Oryzias latipes: one gene and its partner. The protein of the gene in region 1 interacts with the protein of each later gene in a biochemical or structural test. Links are inferred from orthologs where the notes say so. Each region holds a gene or a part of one and is shown on either strand. Other genes may lie near its edges. The genes, in order: axl and gas6.

Region 1 (3,174 bases):
CGGACTCTGATGTTTTCAGGCTGTTCCCTTCTCCACCATGATCCACGGAGGAATGCACCCCAAGAAGACCTTCATCATCCGAGGCAGGGTGCCGTCTGGAGCGGACAGGTGCGTCTCTGTCACCTGCACGACGGCCGAGTCACAGCAGCTCTAACCGTCAGCTGTCGTCGTAGGATGGCCGTCAACTTCGTGGCGAGCGGGTCCGGGAACACGGCCCTCCATTTGAACCCCAGGGTGAAGGCGGGGGAGGTGGTTCGCAACAGCAGGATTGGGGGCGACTGGGGCAAAGAGGAGCGCCAGCTCAGCACCAACCCCTTCAGGGAGGGGCAGTTCTTTGACGTACGTGAGAGCGCCGCGGAGGTGAGTTCTGGTGCAGACGCGCCGTCCTTTTCAGTAAATCCTCCATCTCGCTGCCAGATGTCCATTCGCTGTGGAAACCAAAAGTTCAAGGTGTTTGTGAACGGAGAGCATCTGTTCGACTTCGCCCACCGGATGTCCTTCTACGAGATCAACATGCTGGAGATCCGCGGCGACGTGCAGATATTCTACGTCCAATTTTAGGACGTTCTCTGGACGCACTGACGTCATGTGAGAATACGATCTGTGCCGAGATACGACACGACTCGAATAAAAAGAAACCACCAAAATCGAGGAATCTCATTTATTTTTATTGTAAAATACTGTAGAAAGGTTTGTTTGCATACAAAGACAATAACTGTACAGTCTTCTCCAAGTACAAAACATCGGTAACAGGTGAAACATTCCAGACGTGTTTTTAATGCAAAATACTGGCTCTCTGAAGGCAGTTTGGAAGAAAACAGCACCAAAAGAAATCAACTTTAACCCTTGTGCTATCCTATGGGGTCAAGATGACCCCCCCCTTACATTGACGTGTTCTCCCTACCATGACAAAGGTGGATAAAGGTGGAAAGATTTCATGGACACCAGTGAAGATCACAAATCATTGAAGAAAAAAGGTTCAGAGCACTGTCTAGTGGGTCTAGATGACCCAACTCCCAATGTCAAAGTGCCTAGGACAGCACAAGGGTTACACAGCCGATGGTTTGAAGATCACGACTGTTGTGTTTGTGCTCAGATTACACCGAAAACAAAAACAGCGCCTCAAAAAAAACATTTTTTTCCCCAAAATATGTGCAGGAACTTGTTTTTAGGATTAAAAAAAAACTATGCAAAAGGTCTACAGATTCTCTATCCACAAAAATAAGTGCATATATGCAAAGATTTTACTGCTGGACTTCCCAAAGTCTTTTCTGTTCTCTGGCTTAAGGAATAGTTTGGAGGAGGGCTTCAGCAGAACAAAATCATCCAAAAATGTCCTTTAAAAAACTGAAAGATCCAAAAGTCTAAACACACAAAAACATTAGTGCAAAGTTGTAGAAAATGTCAAAAAGAAAAACAATAAAAAGGTGTAACAACACTGTGCTTGAGTCAAAAACAAAGCTGAAGAACCCGTCCTTCGTTTGGAGAATCCGTGCCGTCTCACAGACCACCCCCCCTGGACCGCACCTGTTTGGACCGGCTTAGCCTCAGCAGAACCGCAGCCTCTGGAGATCCGGAGCTTCCTGAGTTTGTCCGATCCCGTTTGTTCTTCAAGGATCTCAAAGGAGAACTTAGCAGTAAAACCCAGGTGGATCCGGACGTTTGAAAGCCTCGTCTGGAACATCAAATGTTCTCCCAGAAACCGTGGAGGCTCCTCCCACTGAAGTCTGAGATTTTATTGGTTAGTTTGCTGTTCAAAAATAACTTTTATGCTTTAAAAAAGTGAAACTAATTAGTCATTTTTCTTTTCAAAACTAATATTCAGGATTCGGGTTTTAAAAAATCTTTTGCTGCTCATCCTGAGGATGAGCCCGCCTCCTTTCCCAAGTAGGGGTGGGGTTTCTATCTGGGCATGCTCAATTGGTTCCGCAGAGGTTTGTTGTGTTTTTTGGGCGTGACCGCCCGGCTCCACGCCGGTGGACGGACGCCACCGATGGTCTGCAGCTGTCTGCGCTTGTCGTACCGACAGGAAGTTCAGTCTGACTCGTGAAAAGAGGTGGCGGTCCTTCCCGTGAAAAGCGCCATGTGTAAAACGTGGGGGCGCGCGTCCCAGCCTGCAGACGGCTGGGGGGAGCTCTCCCCGCCGGGACGGCACTCTTTGGCAGTGATAGGTTTGGGCAGCTCAGAGGAAGTCCTCTACTGCCAGGGCATCTTCCTGTCCCTGTCCTCCCGCAGCTCAAAGGGGGGGTCCGGGGTCAGGGTGGGGGTGGAGTCTCGGGACGGCTGCAGGGGCAGCGTAGCCGTGGACGACGACACCGGCATGTCCAGGCTGTCCAGGGAGTCCGAGAGGGGGCGGTTGGTCTCGTGCTGGGGGCAGAGGACGTAGCGGTTGGGGTGGTGGACCTCCACCGTGGTCACCGTGTCGCGGCCTTTCAGGCAGAAGGGGGGCAGTCCCCCAAGGGGGTCACGGCCACCCACGGCTCCCAGCTCCGTGGAGGACTCGTCCATGTTGACGTACAGAATCTCGTCGGGGTCCTGAGGATCCGGCAGGTCCTCCAGCGCCTTTTCCAGCTCGCAGCGCAGCGCCTCAAAGGAGGGGCGGTCCTTGGGGCTCAGCAGCCAGCAGGAGAACATGAGAGAATATCTGGAACGCCAACAACACAAATAATCACTCATGGTCTGAGAACATATGTCAATAAATAAATAAAACAGATCCATTTTTGGCCTGAAGCTGTCACAGCAGTTGTGGTTTTCGTCACCACTTACATCAAGTCCAGGCAGTCTGGCGGCTGTTTGAGGCGGTTTCCCTGCCTCAGATAGTCGTAAATCTCGCTGTTTTCCACACCGGGATACGGCGTCTGACCCCGTGTGGCGATTTCCCACATGGTGACCCCGAATGACCACTGAGACAGAGACACACAAACAGGTGAGAAGTTTTCTGGAAAGAAAAAAAACCCTCAGCTGGGGGTTTATCCGGGATTTGGAACAGGGAAGCATGTGGAGAATTTCCTGTGCATCATTCCTGAAGCATGTTCAGGATTAACAGCTGCTCCCTGCTGGTGTCTGCGGCACACGCACACACACACACACACACACACACACACACACACACACACACACACACACACACACACACACACACACACACACACACACACACACACACCCCAGCAG
Region 2 (3,820 bases), on another chromosome or scaffold:
CCTGACTCTCCAGCACTTTTTACATCCGTCTGCCGTTACAGAAACTTGTGGTGTGGGTGGAAAGACGTTTTTAGTTCAACTTTGGATCGACTGTGCATGAAACCACAGGGAATGAAGGTAGTGCCTCCTTTCTGTTGTGTGTAAAGCATTGAACAGTCACGTTATTTACAGACTCAGCATTTCACAGCACACTCATGGTCGTTCTCAGTAGCTTGTTTGGTAATGCAGTGCTCTGGCCCCGCCCTGTGCTTCGGCGGCCCTTCCATCCTCTTCAGGTTGATCGGTGTGGCAGCTTTAACCGTCTCCATGACTCAAAGAGCGGACGGTGGGGTGGGGCTTTGGTGACGGAATTGTCTGATAATCCACAGGTGAAAATGCATCGCTCTCTGCAAGGAGGTTGGTTTCAGTTTCCGTCAACAAGACGTGCTTGATCTCCTACAGCACTGCACCCATGTGGAATTATTGACCTGTTTGGGGGGGTCTGGACGTGTTCGGGCTTGTAGTTGTTTTGTAGGCATGAGGTTGTTTTTCTTAAGGTTTCAGGCAGACATTGAGTGCTTTGCAGCAAATGGGGAAATCCAAGACAGTGGCTTCACACGCTGCAGTCCACTTATACCTACAACTGTGTGCAAGGTCCAACACCACAACTCAGTGTGGGGCTATGGGGAAGGAGTCAGCATTTTAAGGGCATTTAAGTCCACCGTTAGTCCAACTCTTGTGTTTTTTTTTTCATTTTTCTCAGCGTTAGCACTTCAGGCTTGGAATATAAATCTAATCCAAGCAACACAAATCCCAAACCTGCTCTTCACCTCTTTATTTAAGCATATCGGTGTGGAGCAAAGCACTCCTCCCCTCATGGCTTACAAGGCTGCAAAAGTTGGGCAGTTAATCAAGAAGTCCAGGTGTCTTACTGATGATGGCGATAAGCTGCTGTTTGTCTGATGTGCGCCGCAACACTGAGAAAACTGGAACAAAAACCCTGCAAATACCTAGAAGCAGCACTTTCATCACAGTGTGAGGGTAGTAAGTGATGGTGTGCCAGGGCTTTAGCTGCACTGTTTTACTTTTTAAGCTAAAATCCAAAAACCCCCTCCTTTGTCAGAGCGTTTAAAGTTTTCTATTTTTTTTTAAACCATCCTCAGTTGCCTGGACAACCTTCTGGAACACAGAGCAGGTTCGTCACTGGTCAGAGCCCAGCAGGGGGCAGGAGTGAGAGCGGATGTCATTGTGTTTGTGGATGGCCTGGTCCAGGTCCAGAGAGCGTCCATTCACACTGACCTCCATGCAGCCGCTGTAGGGCGCCGACACGACCGTGGACACCAGAGGCACATCTGGGGAGGAGACAGGAACAGGACACTGCTGTCACGCCAGACCTCACATTACAGTGTTCCATTGTTTATTGTGGGGGTTATGTTCTAAAAACAACCTGCAATAGGTGAAATCCAAAAGTAGGATTATAGATGTTTTAAGGCTGTAAAATGCCTCACTACACACTTTATACATTTGTCTCAGACAGACAAGAACACGAATGAAACCTGATTTGCTGTGGCGACCCCTGAAGGAATACACCTAAAGGTGAATAACAACATTACAGAAAGAGAAAGATCTGCTCGCAGTCTAGGATTTATGCAACTCTGGCAAGCCGAACGCATTCTGTACAGGAGACACGGTACGGATGAGATTGATTAACAATGATCTCAGGCCAATCAGGACGCAGATTACACACTGTTGAAAAAGCAAAACATGCAAAATTGCACAAAAAAAAAAAAAATCTGTGAATTGAGACTGCAAAAGGTGAAGCGAGATAAAGTAAAGGACATAGATATGTACTACGTTCTACTTGGGTAACTTCTTATAATAATAAAGGGCAATTTTTACTTTTACTTTTTATTTGAGTAGATTTTAAAACTGTACTCGTATTTCAACAAAAATTCAAATGATGAACTAAGCAGCCTTGTTTAACTGGTGTCTGGATTTGTACGAATGCCTTTGATGGAAAGAGCTGGTCACCTGGGATGCCTCCGATAAAAGTGCTGGAATGTGAGAAGAGGTTAGTGGGAACTTCCACGTCTTCAGTCCTTCCAGCTTCGCCATCAACCAGAAGTGAGGTCTGGTTGCCTGAGATGGTCACTTGGATGTCGTGACGTTGGCCGTCACACAGGAGCGCAGGGGAGCTGGCAACGATCACGTTCCCCACAGAAACCAGAACAAACTGCAGACAGGCAGAAGATGAAGATCAAGGTGTGCAGAGACGTTCTGAAGACGAGTCAGCGATGATGTACTCACATCTCGCCATTCATCGGTTAAAGGGTTATAGTCTGCCAGAGCAATAGACAGAGGCACTTTGTCCTGGTGAACAAGGGCAAACAGAACGCCGATACCAGAGAGTGGGAGCAGGGTCAGCTGAACTGTCAGGTTCTGGGACTCTAAAGTGAAGCAAATAGGAAATCAGACGGTCACAAAAAGTAACATGAAAGAGGATAATGTTAATGAGGTGAACAGAAAGTTAGGATTCAACCATCTGCCTCAGGAAAGAAAACTGACAAATTTCTACAGGTCCTCTGGAAGCTTTGATTATTCACCAACCCGCGAACACCACAAACACACACCATAGGTGATGTTGAAGAGAGCGAAGCCGGCTCCAGGGTAAAATGCTCCGGGAACCTCAGTGCTGAAACACTGCATGTTGTCGTTGGACTGGATGGTTTCCTGTATGGAAGTGTCTTCACCCGTCAGCCAGCGCCAATCTTTCATGCAACCATCAAGGCGTGGATTCAGCTACACAATTAAGGAACGGGTATGAAAGTTCAAATATGAGTAGCTGACATCCGCTTTGGTGCATCTCTGGGAAAAGAAGAAGCCAAACAAACACCTGATTGACGAGGCGATCCTCTTTGAAGGGGACTCCTCCAACGGTCAGGTTGAGCTCGTGCATGCCTTTCTTCAGCGTGAACAGATCCCCGTTAACCGCGATCTTCATCACGGCCTCCCGGTCAATCTTGATGACGAGGCTCCGCCCCTGCTCCTCCACTGAGATCTGCGACAAGCAGACCCCTGTCAGTTGATCTGCACGGACATGGCAGCTCGTGACAATCCTGAAGGCACGCTCTGACCTTCCTCCACTGCCCGTCATTGACAACGGGCCCGCTGCTGGTGACTCTGCTGACCGCGCCGTACTTCAGCTGCAGCTCCAGCCTCCCACGATGCATTGCTACCACAATCCAGGAGCTGTTCAGGTGACCGCCTGCAAAGAAGATCACCCCCTCTCGATCGAAGGTGCGGAAGTCAAACTCTGCTGAAAAGCTAATAAGAAAAGAGGGATATGCATGAAAGAAAAAAAAAGTCAAGTCAACTTTATTTATCAAGCACTTTTTAAAAACAGCAGAGGCTGACCAAAAAAGGATAAAAGAAGCAAATCAGAGAAAACTATGCAAAAAAGAAGAAAATGAAAGACAGTTTTACCATTTTTGTTGAGGATATGCAGAACTGACCCACATAAAAATATATATCCAACATTCTCACCCGGTATGAACCCTGCGACGAAAACGAAGGCGAACCACCGGCACGCCGCTGAACATGCGGCCCAAATAGAGAGAACGCGGGTTTCTCTTTGGGGACTGCATCATGCAGCGAGTTATATTCTGAAGAAGAAATAAAAAAACTGTAAGGCACTACTTCTTTACAATACAAAGACTCAATCTGATGATATATTATATGAAAGGATAACTAAAAACGACATCATCTCTTCTGAAAGAACATCCATTTCTGTACAGGACTTCTAGAGGTTAGCATGAAACACAACACCGTACCTTACAGCTGC

The links.
Region 2: the proteins of axl (region 1) and gas6 form a complex in vitro, tested with the Homo sapiens proteins (2 studies listed by BioGRID and IntAct, with this or other methods). The link is inferred for Oryzias latipes from reciprocal best matches to the Homo sapiens genes AXL and GAS6.

Annotation. Positions count from the first base shown.
Region 1 is NC_019871.2:3,186,507-3,189,680, forward strand, and holds the end of axl (tyrosine-protein kinase receptor UFO), read right to left. Parts: intron 2,904-3,174; coding exon 2,767-2,903; intron 2,645-2,766; coding exon 2,197-2,644; 3' UTR 648-2,196; downstream 1-647. Other genes in the region: galectin-4, read left to right, coding at 20-108, 174-561. UniProt on the Homo sapiens protein: Receptor tyrosine kinase that transduces signals from the extracellular matrix into the cytoplasm by binding growth factor GAS6 and which is thus regulating many physiological processes including cell survival, cell proliferation, migration and differentiation.
Region 2 is NC_019861.2:16,493,693-16,497,512, forward strand, and holds part of gas6 (growth arrest-specific protein 6), read right to left. Parts: coding exon 3,810-3,820; intron 3,642-3,809; coding exon 3,523-3,641; intron 3,304-3,522; coding exon 3,114-3,303; intron 3,038-3,113; coding exon 2,873-3,037; intron 2,779-2,872; coding exon 2,610-2,778; intron 2,427-2,609; coding exon 2,287-2,426; intron 2,213-2,286; coding exon 2,011-2,212; intron 1,332-2,010; coding exon 1,180-1,331; 3' UTR 1-1,179. UniProt on the Homo sapiens protein: Ligand for tyrosine-protein kinase receptors AXL, TYRO3 and MER whose signaling is implicated in cell growth and survival, cell adhesion and cell migration.